Linked DNA regions of Styela clava. The protein of the gene in region 1 interacts with the protein of each later gene in a pairwise test. Links are inferred from orthologs where the notes say so. Each region holds a gene or a part of one and is shown in the gene's direction. Other genes may lie near its edges.

The links.
Region 2: the proteins of kinesin-like protein KIF9 (region 1) and protein arginine N-methyltransferase 6-like interact in a two-hybrid assay, tested with the Homo sapiens proteins (2 studies listed by BioGRID and IntAct). The link is inferred for Styela clava from reciprocal best matches to the Homo sapiens genes KIF9 and PRMT6.

What each region holds. Positions count from the first base shown.
Region 1 is NC_135250.1:15,179,267-15,186,633, forward strand, and holds the start of kinesin-like protein KIF9, read left to right. Parts: upstream 1-4,218; 5' UTR 4,219-4,351; coding exon 4,352-4,444; intron 4,445-4,938; coding exon 4,939-5,049; intron 5,050-5,882; coding exon 5,883-6,044; intron 6,045-6,212; coding exon 6,213-6,333; intron 6,334-6,745; coding exon 6,746-6,826; intron 6,827-7,024; exon of another isoform or gene 7,025-7,035; intron 7,036-7,367. UniProt on the Homo sapiens protein: Essential for normal male fertility and for progressive motility of spermatozoa.
Region 2 is NC_135256.1:13,906,008-13,914,139, reverse strand, and holds the start of protein arginine N-methyltransferase 6-like, read left to right. Parts: upstream 1-5,006; 5' UTR 5,007-5,029; coding exon 5,030-5,236; intron 5,237-6,896; coding exon 6,897-7,010; intron 7,011-7,756; coding exon 7,757-8,092; intron 8,093-8,132. UniProt on the Homo sapiens protein: Arginine methyltransferase that can catalyze the formation of both omega-N monomethylarginine (MMA) and asymmetrical dimethylarginine (aDMA), with a strong preference for the formation of aDMA.

The sequences.
Region 1 (7,367 bases):
AAAAATTTTGCGGTATTATTTTTATTCATGGAGACACAGATTTTAGTCCGCGTGGTGACTGGTTGTGCGTTTTGATTCTGCAAATTCTTGCTACGCGAAATTTGGAGTAAATTACCGCACCGCAGTATAAGTTTATTGGACACGTTTAGTGGCCATAACGATCGTTTCAAAATTTTGTTGTTATTGGACACGTAGTGGACATAACGATCGTTTCAATATTATGTTGTTGTTGTTGTTCTTTGACACGTTTTTGAAAAGTCGCTTTTCTCTTCGAATACTGGACCAATTGCTTTGAAATTTTCAGTGGTTAAAGATAAAATTTCTCTCCAGAAGGCTATTACTTTTTTTTTCGCTATGACGTCATCAAAATTATGTGACTCTACGTGTCCATATATTTGAGCATAGCTCTCTTGTTGTTATTGTTATTTGTCTCCGTCTCCATTTTTAAAAAATCGCTTTTCTCTTCGAATACTGGACCAATTGCTTTGATATTTTCAGTGGTTAAAGATAAAATTTTTCTCCAGAAGGTTATTACTTTTTTTTCGCTATGACATCATCAAAATTATTGCCACTGGGTGGCGCTACGTGTCCATATATTTGAGCATATCTCTATTGTTAATAATATTATTACCAGCTTATTCGTTGATATTATGCACAGTCATAGTCAATTTTATTTTTTCCACCAGCAAAAAAATAACATACAAAATCAAAAAATAAACAAAATTTAACACACATTTTTACTGGGGAAGGGAAGACGCGGGGAACCAAATTTGGCTATCGAGACACGACACGCTAAGCTAGAATCCGAGATGCAAAAACTCGAAAATACTTCGACAAGGTTATTTTGCCTTTGTGACGTCACAATAGCCTGGCCTATTATTCTCGGATAAACTACTCTACAAAAAGAAATCAAATTAAAATATATTCGAATTGCGTAAGTCATTTTTAGCAGTTTTGACAAAAACGTAAAAAACTTCCTAATGATATTGTTATGCCATTGAGAGTCAAGAATTTGCCATGGTTCAATTTTTTGATCGTAGCCGGATTTAAGTTAATTTGTATGACGCAGTTAGGTGACGTCATAATGGCGCACTGTGACTTATGCAGAATTGTGTCTATGACTTGGGGACATACGCAATTTTGCAACTTTACTATATGTACCAGTCCTGAAAACTAAACATTCCAAAAACGAATGTAATTCTCTGTATCTACAATGTCTAATCCCCAAAATGGCTAATACGTTTCAATTACATTATTTTTTTATGTTTAAAAATATATATTTAATCAATATAACACGTTCTGCACACCCACCAAATAAGACTAAGATTAAATATAAAGAATAAAACAGCAATGCACTCAATATAAAAGCCAACCAAGGTAAATTGGACTCGGACAGTGAATATCACAAATGCACGTCTTCCTATACTGCAGTATAGATTCAAATAAATACGCGCTAAGCTAGAATCCGAGATGCAAAAACTCGAAAATACTTCGACGAGGTTATTTTGCCTTTGTGACGTCACAATAGTCCGGCGGTACCAATGATAATTCATTATGACGAAACAATTGCACAAATGTGCATATCATGCTAAATCTCCATTTTTATAGGTTTCGGAATTCTTAAATCTGAGTTAACAATCAGGTGCGCAGCATTACATAAATACCTATTTTATAAAAAACTCAAATATATATGTGTCTAAATTTGCCTCTCACAAAGGCAACATCAAGGAAGTGTGGAAGACAATTAGTGAACTAATTGGTAAATAAAATCAATCGACTACATCATTAAGAAAATATATCATGCGCAAATAAATTTGAAGAACACTTTTCCCAAGTGGCACAAAGCTTACTTAACAATTTGTCACAACCAGCTAGCTGTGACAAAAATCTCCCTTCATATCTTGGAAAGCAAGAATTTTCATCCATGTTTTAAGACCAACTACATCAGTGGTGTGCAACCTTTTTCCAGGGGCGGGCTAGATATCGATAACTGGGTAAATGCGGCCCGCACTTTCATTTAACATAGGCTCTCTATTATGGTTCGTCACTGCTGTCACATGGCCAACACTTGAAAATAGAGGAGTGTTTTGACTAAAATAAAGGCACAAAACGTCATTTCAAATGAGGAGTTACTTGACGCGAGCTCATCTCATCGGCTAGGTCCTGCCTGCATGCACAAGACAATTCATTCTCTTTTTACCGATCACAGGACGTCATTCCCATATACATGTAGACACAAACGTCAGTCCTGACATAGGGATTAGAAAACGGACTATTCCCAGTTGGAATAGTTTGAAAATAAATCAAAATTGTTCCGCTAATAAATATAAATATCTGCCAATGGTTTGATAGTGTATGCTAAAATTGTTCTGTGGGCCGCACGGAATGTGTCAGCGGGCCGCAGTTTGGACCACCCTGGGCCGTAAAAAATAAATTGGACTCGAATATAAGCTTTGCCACGCAAAGGGAACCAGATTGAAATAAATTAAAAACTCATTTCGCTAGCTGGACACCATTCAAAATTGGCACTTTTCCGCGGGCCGCACCATTTTCCCTTGCGGGCCGCATTTGGCCCGCGGGCCGCACTTTGCACACCCCTGCACTACATCTTTAAAAATAAAAAAAATATCATACGCCAAATGAATTCCAGGTCAAGTTTTGGAATCGATAGTATTCCATTTGAAATATGTTATAACAAATCATTGATATCTTGACATTTATATTCAACCTCACTATTTCGTGCACCGGTTCTCAAACAGTGGGCCATGGCTCACTGCTAGGCCGCAGAAACATTTTCAGGTGGACCACAATCCTATTGAAAATTGCAAGAGTTATCGATAAATTTACTTTCATTTGTGTCACTATAATTAAATTTTGATTGCAATAAATGATGCTTCTGTTGTTTGCTACTGAGTGGTAATTTATATTATCATTAAAGTGAAATTGTTTATATTGCGGGAAGAATATTTTTTTTTCTTGTAGTTTTACCCTATCATGGAAAAGTTAATGGACCACGGAATTTCTGTGCAACAAAAATGCCCACGACAGAAAAAAGGTTGAAAACCACTGATCTAGTGGAATATTCATAAAAAGTTTCAAGACAGCCAAAATTTTTCCCCTTTTTAAAAAGAGTGACGTTTCAGATCCTGGCAACTTTTTCATTCGTTTTCAGAAATTCTTGAAAAAATAATGCATAGCAGAATGTCAAATTATTCCGAAAGCCATAGTATATTCTACTCGCATCAGTTCGGTTTCCACAAGCAACACTCCAATGCTATGGCTGCTAATGACTTGTACATAAACCAACCAAGGCGTTTGAAGGAAAGCAACATGCTATTGTTATATTTCTTGATATTTTAAAAGCTGACACCAATGATCATTCTATCCTTTTAAATAAGCTTCATTATGGAATTAGAGGGGTTCGTTTCAATTGGATAAGGAGCTACCTGCAAATTCTACAAGTAAGCTTTGCCCGTGAATTTTACTTTCTCGTGTTTATGTACATGTCGTTTATTAATTTTCAGTATAATTGCTGTGATGTGTTTTCCACTTGTGTCAGTGTGGGTAAATGGGCACAAACGCTTGCAGCGTTCGCTATAAACCTTTCTCGAGGTTTTGCCCATTTTCCCGATCTTTCCGTCGCCCTTGAATGTGTTTTTATTTTGTGTTCTGTGTTGTCAAGTTGTAGACAAAAGATCAAAATAAAATTGTATTGCTGTATTGTAAGAAAGAAAATAAGTTGTGCAATGTGACAATTCATTCTCTACCAATATTTGTGTCACGAGGCAAGTAGTTTCTTAAGGATCTTTACCAGGGCCTATTATTCTTTCTAGTCTACCTAAACGACATGATTACGTATCTGGACTCTTTTGAGTCAACCATGTTTGCTGATGCCACTGATTTGATTTTGTTTGGGAAAAACTTGGAACAACAAATGACAGTTGCAAACCGAGAATTGCTCAACATTCATAGCTGGATGTTGGTTAATAAATTATCTCTTGATGTCAACAAAACTACATTCCGTACTATTCCATCCAAGCAAACATATAAATGTGAGTTGCTCCCCGGCAATAAATATTTCTAAACGAATAAATCCTATCCAAGTATAGAGGGTCAACATTCTCTTATCATTCTCTGTGATCCAAGCACATGTAGTGTTTATGTTCACCTTGGTCCGAAAACCTAGCGGATCAATGACCCTCTTCGACCCGGCATAGCAACACATAGCAACGTGTGCGGCTTTGGTTTGGCTCTACTACTTGCTGCGCTTCTGTACTGTAGGAGTGCTCATTATTGTCGTAAAACTACAAGCTTTTTGGTATGATTTGAATACATTTAACTGAACAATAACATGTCCAAAAATAATCGAGTTAGAATTTTCGTAAGAACCAGACCAACTCCCAATTTTGCTCATGGAATGATTGATTTTCTTCAAGATGGAAAGGTTTGTGGAATTACAGAATTATAATAATATCAAATGCTTATTCGAAGTTTTGTAAAACGATGTATCTCATCTCCTTTCATGTTTCGTCAGGCAGGCAGACCAGCAGATTACATGCATCTTCTACTCACTGATAAACAGCATTTAAAAACGAAAATGCCATTATTTTCAAACTCTGAACGAATAAACGTATGTTATGCAGCTTTGCAATGTTATGCACTAAATCCTTTTTCAGATAATTAACAATTTCATTGTTATTGTGGAAGTTATTTTATGCAGCTTATTGCGGTTCAAGTGTGGAGAAAAATTCTAAAATTTATCACAAATGATAAAACAAAAAATTCTCCTCTTAGATCATGTGGATCATGACTGAATTCAATCTGAATTAAAATTATTACTGAAATTTTGGTCACTTTAGAGGGCTGTTATATTTTTATGCAAGAATTTAGTATATGCGTTTTGCTCCAATTGACTAATATTTATTTGTTTTTATTTAGACCATCAAGGTTCACACACAGAGAGATGAAAAAGAAAAAATTGTGGATAATCAGTTGTTAGATTGGTCATTTAAAGTTGATGGAATTTTACACAATGCCAACCAAGATCAGGTATTTCTATTAATCTCCATGATTATAGCATTATAATACCCTGTACTGTATAATACTGTATACTGTTTCCCATCAAATTGTTTAAAATTTCACGGACGCTAATAAATAATGAAAGAACAATGTTTCCATCTCTCCTGCGCTGTTTCGCGCTCTTTCCCTCTCTTCTGCGCTGTTTGGCGCTCTTCGCACTCTATTCAGTAAGTAGTAAAACCTTTTATCTCTAATAATTATTTTTCTGAGAAAACATTATACAGCTTTTTTTCATGTCATGCACTTGCCATCTGCGTCTTCATATTGATAATAGCTCTTATCAGTAATTTGGTAATCGGTCTAAAATTCTTAGATAAATTTTTATCTGGCTGAACTCCTTTTTATGTAAGGCCACAGACAAAAAGTCAATGATATTCAAGGAGCTCCTAAGGTTTAAAAACAATTGTAATACTTTTATTTTTAAAGTAGCTGATGGCGTATATTATCGGGTGTCGCTGCTCGATAACCATTCCTGGTTTCCCCGCGACTTCCCTTCCTCAGTAAAAATGTGTTTTCAGTTTTGTATTTTGTTAATTTTGTATGTTATTTTTTACTGAATGGGAAAAAATAAACTTGACTATGACTATAGCTGGTTATGGCCTATCTAAGTTTTTCACCTTGAGTCAGGTGATAGACATCCATGCATAAAAATAAGATGAAAGGAAAATTCAGAAATGAAAAAATGTTAAAAAATAATAAATTTGTACTGTACATGGGAAGCTACTGTTGAGGATAATAGATGCTATCAGATTAACAAATAAAATAATGTACCAAACTCAATGTTTACATACACAATCCAACAGGTCTATGATGAAGTTGCTTCCAAGATGGTTACAAGATCTTTGAATGGATATAATGGTACTTTGATGGCGTATGGACAAACTGGTGCAGGAAAAACTTTTACTATTACTGGTGCCACTGAAAACTTCAAACAAAGAGGAATCATACCACGAGCTATATCTCAGGTTAGAGTGAACTGATGATCTTATTTGGTTTGGAAAAATGCTTCTTAACTCAGTAAATACTTGATTGATGATTGGTTATGAAATAAACCAAATATCAAATGGGAAATTTCAAAATGTTAAATATTTCAAGATGAATCAACTCTTGTTTATCATTTATTTCCTGTCAAGGTTTTCAAAGAAATAGAAGAGCAAGTTGACAATGTTGTCACTGTAAGAATATCTTATCTTGAAATATATAATGAAAACATGTTTGATCTTCTATCAACATTACCTGCCTCTGGATCATCTGGTTAGTTTCGCATTGAATTTTATAATTAGGCTTATTTACGAACAAATTTATGAAACAAAGTTGCATATATCACCTTTTTATATAAAATTCATTGTTGTAGCAGTATTATATTGCTCTATTTTAGGTAAATTATGTTATATCTATGTAAAAGCATAAATGACTTTAAACTAACAGTGGCATATGTATTGAATATGCATACTGGGATAGGATAGACTGAGTTATAGACTATGATGTGGAAAAATTGAATTTGAAAGCAGTTGTACAAATTTAAGAATACTAAGCTACTAAAATATAGAATTTTATCATGCAAAACATTAGCCCCCCTCTTGGTGTAGTTTAGTATATGAACCAGTAAACCAAATTTCTGTTTTTGCAAAAGCTTCAGTTATCAGGTAACAATTTTTTTTTTCAGCATATTATGACATCCAAAGTATGACAATAGTTGAAGGAGACAATGGATCGGTCAGTGTTAAAGGTCTTTCGTTACATGCAGGTAGTGTGGTAAATAGTGTGTTATAGGTTAGAACAGTGGTTTTTTTGTCGCGGCACACTATCAAGCTTTTTAAATATTCGCGGCACACCTATCACGAAACATGAACATTTCCTACTCTTGTAGCCATTTAGCTATAAAATAGCTTTAGCTATAGATAAAAAAAACATAGAAGATCAGATAAGGGAAATACTATTCTTGTTAATACAACATACCTTGTATTCAAAATGGATGGTTAACAGTTACCGATATTATAACTGTTTTCTTACAATAATGTACACGAGACCCACCTTCGGAGCACCTCACATTGTTGTAAAAGATGCACGGGTAATACGCTTTGGGTTTTCTCGCCCTTGCCCGTTCCACGTTACGCCTTATTATTATCACAGGTATTCTCACTTTTGCACAACCTAATTCATTGCAAACAAACCGTATTTTATTACAACAATTAATTATTATCGCTAAAAACACTGAATAGGTTTAAAGTTGTTATAAACAATTTTCACCGATGGACGAATCTTTTCACGTTATGAATTTCGTGCAA
Region 2 (8,132 bases), on another chromosome or scaffold:
GGCTAATTTTGACGTGCCATGCAGCATACGGAAGATACTATCCCAATTTGAAGTATTTTGTTCCCACTTGAAAGACTTTGTTGCGTGCTGTATAGTTTTTGTTTGTTCTGTTTTGTATCTCGGCGAACAAGGTGGAATCATACTGTACATCCTTTTTGTATAGATTGAACATTGTTTATCCTTCACCACGACAGTAATTTTGACATTTTTCTTTGATCGGAAGCGAGACTCAACTGAACGTTTCGTACCATTTGTATCCATAGTAACCCAACAACTGAAAAGCATCAATGATATGGCGTTTGTCTTTTCGGCGAATCTTTTATATGAGCGGATGTTTTTTCGAAAAAAGCCTTACCTTTTTCGTCCGAAAGCAAACGAACAAGGTAGAGTGACTGCAGTTCTCGATGATAAAACTAATTGAGTCGGGCCTGTTTTTTTTTTTTTCAATGAACCGTAAACATATTTGTGAGGTATCGTTGAATCCAGTACTATTGAATCGGATAGTTGATACAACTTTGAGTAAGAGAATCTTTTAGCCTGGGATACCAAGATAGCTAAGATAAAGTCGCCACATAAAGTTGTGTCAGAGAATATTCAAACACTAAAATTTGAAAAAATATGGCGAAGTGTTTTGCGCTTTCGGCACCCATTTTATATACCGTGTTTCCCCGAAAATAAGACCTTTCCTGAAAATAGGACCTAGCCTAATTTTTAAAAATGATTTTAATATAAGCCCTCCGCTTAAAATAAGACCTAGTCTGTTTAATGTCATTGCTCCTACACGTTTTAAATGATTGATAATCTATATTTTAAAATTGTTTTGACTAAGAACGTGTTATTTGTAAGTAAATGGATATCGGTTTTCATAGTTTGTATATTTGAAAATCTCGTAATTCTCTACCTTTTAATTTCGTTTTTGATAAATAAAAATATAAGATATCACCCGAAAATGGACCTTTGACCCCCGAAAAACTCTTCCTATACTTAACCCAGCGTTTCCCAAACTTTTTCGGCCACGGAACACTTAGACTTTTTATCTCGCCTCACGGAACACCAAAAAATGGAAAGCTAAAATTGATAAAGAAAAACGGTGTAATGTAGCGGTTCCCAATGGGTTCGCCGTGACGAGTTGCCAAATGCGCCGCGAAAACTAACAGAATTGTGTTAAACCGTAAATATATACTACTACGGTTAAACATACCTGAAATATGATTGAATATTTTACATATTGCATTTATTATAAATGTTTTATTGTTTCCTAATTTAAGAGCTGTGTATATGAATCAATAAATTCACCAATTCACAATTTTTTACCTGTCTATGTCGTTTACTTTTCATTACGTAGTGTTTGCCTCCAATGTTACCTCTAGGGAAATATAAAAGTAGCCTACTTGCTGCAATTTCGCGAGCTGCAGTTTATTTATCTGCTGAATTGAATTTAGCGAACATGAGTAATTTTTCAGCATTTCATAGTAAAACCAGGCAGCGACGGAGGAAGAAGAGTTGGCCTTTTGCCTTTTTTCTTTAGACCTACTTGTTTGCTTATAACAAAACCAAAATGATTGCTGTAAACTTGGGGTTACCATATTTTTTGTGACCTCAAAGCGGGACGCCTCCAAAGGCCATAGATGTGTTTTTTTTTTCAACTTTAAATTTACCGATTTTACATTAGGCACACATTTAAAACCATCCCGGCTGTCTTCAGTAACTATATTGTCATCGAGAGTGCATGTGGTGTCTGTCTAAAAATCGGTTTCAATTCAATAAATAGAAAGGACTTTACGTTAAGCGCTCTTTTGACGTATGGGGCTTACACGTAACTATTGTAGCAATTAACCGCTAATAATGTTAGCGGAAAACAACGAAACAAACAAAACCACGCATCCACCTTCAGTAAGTATGCTACCACCGGTACACCACACGGCAACAACAGTATCGAGAACATGCTAATTGGTGATGTTCATGTATCATGCTGACTGGGTGAACGCCAAAGCGGGACTTTTGGCTGACCGGTCGGGACGCCCGGACAAAACGTTAAAAAGTGGGACTGTCCCGCCTAAAACGGCGGGACGTATGGTAAGTCTATGTAAACTTAACAGTCAAAAAGCTACGACGACGGTCACGAAAATGCCACTACTCTACCTCAGTTAGTCTGCTTTAGGCCGACGATAACGCGATATTGAACGGTCAGTTTGGCGACAACTACACGATTTCTAGATCGCAATGGCGATATTTTTGATTTCTTCTCCACGGAACACTCGGAAGACGCTCGCGGAACACTAGTGTTGGGCGGAGAGTTTGGGAATCGCTGACTTAACCAATGCAAAATTTTCGGGGCTATGTTAAGAGTGCTTTTGCGAGTTGGCGCCTGTGAAATGGGATATGTGTTTCAAACCATCATTATGATTCATCGCATACAACAATCTGTTTTTTAAAATTACCGATAAAGAATTTTAGCCTAGTCTATCACAGCTATTTCTACACTGATTTTTATTACTGCAATTAAAATAAAACTCCTAGGAAGACAGGGTGACCATTTAATTATCTGATTTACATTTAAGTTTCCAAAACACAACTGAAAACTAACGAATAGAGTTCAAAAATGCGAAAACGAGGTAATGTTTACGACCACGCTTGAAAATCTGTCTGAGTGAGAAAAGTGTCTCACTCTGACCGGATGCGAAAAGGGAGCATTGTTACGTCACTTTTTGCAATTTGCTGATTGGCCAATGTCACGAAGTAAACAAGGAAGTCGATGCTCGGGGAAAGGTCCATAAGCCCTAGTGTTATTTTTTGGAACAAAATTGAAATATTTATCTTATTTCCGGGGAAACAAGGTAGTTCCTGAAGATTTAAAACATGTCACATTTACCGCTGTTTAAACGCTAAATCTACCATGTTTTTTTATTGCACGTGTATGGTGGCCCATCGTTGTCACGTGTAAAATTTAACAAAAAATGAAAAAATAAAATGAAAAAGCGAAAATAAAAAAATAGTTATGAAAAAACATGAAAATAATTGAAAAAAAAGAAATAAAAAAAAAAATTGAAATTAAAAAAAAAATTGAAAAAAAAAAAAAATAAAAAAATTGGATAAAAAGAAAATAAAAAGGTTGACAACGATGGTCCGCCTCGTGGCCCATCGTTGTCACGCGTTTTTATTTTTGGAAAATTTGGTGCTGCTTGGGACCAACGTTGTCAGGCTTAATCCTACACGCACAAATGTGTTTCCTGGGTTTCTAACTCACTACTGATTTTCATGAGCAATATCCAATAAATTCAACATGAAAATGTTCTATAAATTCTCCATGCTACAACTTCAACCACAAGCAATATATTTATAATAATGATACGAGAATATAGAATTGGATACGAAAATTTGTTTTTACGTGTAGAAGATATTTAATTGGAAAATGCTGCTTAACTGCTCAGACACTCGTGCGATGCCGGTACGGTACCGTCTGACCGTACCGGTACCCATGCAATCACTCGTGAAAGAATGGGAGATACGGATAGTCTCGATAGAATGTAGTCTACTGAAACACTCTCTGCGCCTGCCCCATACCGTACAGCCGTAACGTACCGATCCAGACAAATGATAAATCGCCCGTGCTCAACCATTTATTTCAATCCATACCTCGACTCACTATATTCTACTAGGATCGAGGTATGGATTGAAATAAATGGTTGAGCACGGGCGATTTATCATTTGTCTGGATCGGTACGTTACGGCTGTACGGTATGGGGCAGGCGCAGAGAGTGTTTCAGTATTCTATATTCTACGAGACTATCCGTATCTCCCATTCTTTCATGAGTGATTGTATGGCTACCGGTACGGTCAGACGCAAAGCGACTATAACCGACTACCGGTATTTGGTAAGACGGTACCGGCATCGCGAGTGTCCAGACAACTGAGTAGTTAAGCAGCATTCGCCAATTAAATTACCTTATACACGTTAAAAACAAATTTTCCGAATTTTCGTATTCAATTCTATATTCTCTTATCATTATTATAAATATATTAGTTCTTGTTGAACTTGTAGCATGGAGAATTTATAGAACATTTTCATATTGAAAATTGCTCAAGAAAATCAGTAGTGAGTTTGAAACCCGCGGAACACATTTGTGCGCGTAGGATTATGCCTGACAACGTTGGTCCCAAGCAGAAGCAAATTTTCTAAAAATAAAAACGCGTGACAACGATGGGCCACGAGGCGGACCATCGTTGTCAACCTTTTTATTTTCTTTTTATTCAATTTTTTTTTTTTTAATTTTTTTTTTTTTTTAATTTATTTTTTTGTTTTTTTTTTTCGTTTTTATTTATTTATTTTTTTTTAATTTTCATTTTATTTTTTTATTTTTTTTTTTAATTATTTTTATGTTTTTTTACAACAATTTTTTTATTTTCGGTTTTTTATTTTTTATTTTTATTTTCAATTTTACGCGTGACAACGATGGGCCACCATACACGTGGCCAACCTGGCCATCCAAACAACAATCGGGGGCCATCCCTACTCAACTGTTACCGAACTCATTGTGACATCATAAACCTGCAATTTGCTGCACAATGAGCACCAAACCGTAAATATATACTGACCAAACGCAGTATCATAAAATTATTACGCGACTTTAATTTAATATTGTGGCAATTGTGGGTAATCGTATCAATAAAAATCAGTCCTTTTACCGAAGTAGCGGTAAATCCTCGGATGTATTATTGCGAGGAATACGACATTAATACAGTAGGCCTAGTGCTCATTCAATTATCAATTACCGTTGTTGCGAACCGCCAAGTGAAAATGTCGAGAACCTCCGGAGTAGGCCAAATGCTAAACACAGCGTGAGCTACTTGCTGGCGAGATTGCAGCGATGTCTGGCGTGCTGCATTATCTTATCTAAAGTAATACTAATTTCATAGGCTCTTGTTTGTATTGTCTGTAGTTCATGGTGTTCGATAGAAGTAGTATTTCTTTGATATCCGAGTAACACCAACTTACACTTATTTTTTTCAGTTTTTGCAGTGATGTGTAATGCTTATTAAATCTTTGATTCGACGATTATCGATTAATAACATGGCTGACAAAGCGAAACGCCCAAGACTTCACTCTATGAAAGAAAAATCATATTTTGAATCGTATTGCGATATTTCTGTCCACGAGGAAATGCTTGGTGATGGTGAACGAACTAATGCATACAAAAAAGCAATATTTTCATGTAGAGATGCAATAAGTGGAAAGGTAATTCTGTAATATTTACTGCTTACCGGTAACACATCACTGCTGCACTGCATCAGGCAGTCAGGACATGTGACACGATTCTGCCATGCCATTAAATATAAATCACCAGAAAGGGTTGGATTTACAGGTATTTAATGATTTAGCCATTGCCCAACTGAACTGTGTGAGACTAATTTTTTGATTGTTCAAGTTTAAAAATTGCACAAATCCAGAAGTTTGCATGTTGTGTCTTTGTACGTTGCTGCAACCTGGTACTGTTGTGACATGTCAGTTCCCAATTCAAGTACAGAAGTATGGTATATGACAGTGGTTCCCAATCGCCATTTCGCGAGAAGTCTCGTTCTTTTGTTGTTTTTATGCCGACTCAATCGCTTCACCGAAGACGAGGTTGCGTTGGTTTATTACGCAATTTCTCTTCTGCCGTCATATTGCACTAGCAGTATTGCGAAGTCTTTCGTGACAACTTGCGACGTCTTTTGCGTCATCTTGGTGCAGAGTAATCACATTTTTAGCTTATTCGGCCCCGGCTTTGATGAACCCGATAAAAAAGAAAACGCTTGATTAAAATTGTGATTTGACTTTACAGTCCAGACTTAAAAAAGAATCACTGTCACAATTTTGGATATCTCTTGATAATAAATACCCATTGCTAAGCAATCGAGCAATCAAACTGTTGTGTGTATTTTCAACCAGTTACTGCATTATGCGAAAAAAACATTTTCATCACTAGCTTTAATTAAAACGAAGCAAAGAAATCGGCTACACGCCGCTGCAGAGCAACAAGTTGCAGAAACTTCTTTGAGGCCTCATTTGCAATCTTGTATTGAAAATGAAACGGCAGCAAAATTTTCACTAGAGTTAATTGTGTTTGGACATGATGTGACATGTACATGTTTTTTATGTGAGATGTTTTATGTGTGCTCTTCTTACGCACAATGGGATCCCAGCACTACATTTCATGTTATATGTTTCACCCATTTCAATTTTTGACCGGCACATTATTTGATAGTTTTTCTATGTGTGAATGTTTTTAAGTTTGCCTTTTTTGTCTAGAACCATATTGAGTGCCAGACATTGCATTATATTCACTCGAGTTGCATATGTGAACTTCGGGATCAAATTTATTTATGCACAACCCAACTTTGTATGAACATTTATACTAACCTGCCTCATGGAAGATTGCAGCATTGGCATTTATTCATTTTAGGTTATAAGTTTAAATCAGGGATGCGCAAACTATGACCCGGAGCAATTTTCGCGCCCTTTGCTTTTGGGGAAAATTAGGATATTTCTTACCACTACATACAAAATTTAGATTCATTTTTGAATTTCAGTTGTATTTAAAATATCTCAAATGTGAATTATTGAAATAATATTAATGCGATTTTCAACAATGTAAGTTGTGAATTAAATGCTTTTCTTAATGCGTCCCTATGCAAAATAGATTCTCTCCTCCTCCCTTGCACAAAAACCTCCAACCCCTGGTTGGAACGATTCTGATTTTCAGCAGTGAAAGGAGACATTTGTATGGCAATAAAGTTTTCTATTTTGTAGAACCGTTATTATGCTCACACCATGTTCATAAAAACTCTCTGTATTTCTAGAGAAAATAGAATTCCTTTTGTAATAATAAAATAACTTTATCTATTTCATTTTTCAGGTAGTACTAGATGTTGGTGCTGGCACTGGTATTCTAAGTTGTTTCTGTGCTCAAGTTGGTGCAGCAAAAGTTTATGCAGTTGAAGCCAGCAAAATTGCCAAGCAGGCAGAAAAGGTGTGAAAATGTTAAACATTTTTTGATTCATATTATTTACAAATCTTATTTTTACTCATTCTGTAAGTATTTGAAAGTCAGTTGTTTGATGTTAGTGTTATAATAGTATATCGTATATATATAGTATAAATTCCAACCAGATTTTTCAATCACACATTCTATAGCTTATATCTTTGAGCTGTTCAGCTGTAAGACCAGCTAAATCTGGGGTATATTGTTCTTAGATTTATTAGGTCTACCATCTAAAAATCATCGTTAATATCTTTGTCTATGCTGGTATCTTAATGTCGCATTTTGATATAATTCGAATGGCCATAAATTCCAGCAAGATTTACTTGTGCATCTTGCATTATAGCTATGACAGCAAAATTTAGTAGCCTATTATGTTCGTATATGAATTTGGTTTCTCATCTTTCGTATTTCAAAATAAACTATTCCAATAAAAACAGCTAGTATGCGGTGTGGCGCATCGTGCTAAGTATTAGGAATACACTTGCCTTGCGTGGGTTCGCGAGAGGATTGTTGGTTTTCTCACTGCTCACTCACAAGGGGGGTTCACATAACCGGTTGGTGGTTGTGGCTTCCTCCACAATCAAGCCCATGCATCTGAAAACAAATAACTGGCTAACTAATCCCATAGCCGAAATGGACTGGTAACCGAACGAGAGGCTATGGTTTGCCATTAGGTCGTCATATCAGCTTTCCTCTTCCCAGGGTTATAAAAGAATATTCCTATCCTTAAACAGGTAGTTGAGCACAATGGATTGCAAGACCGTGTCCAAGTTATTCATGGTGTTATGGAAGAAGTAAATTTGCCAGAAAAAGTTGATATCATCGTCAGTGAATGGATGGGATACTGTTTGCTTTATGAATCAATGTTGTCATCCGTCATATGGGCCAGAGATAAATGGTTGAAGCCCGGAGGTTTAATGTTGCCAGATCATGCCACTATCTTTGTTGCACCTGTATGCGATGATGAGGTGATGGTGGAAAAAGTTAATTTTTGGAATGATATGGATGAAGTTTATGGTGTCGACATGGCATGTCTAATCCCATTTGCCAGAGAATCATTAGCAAAGGAGGTAAGAACGCATGCAAGTAGTTCAGAAGTAACATCTTTTT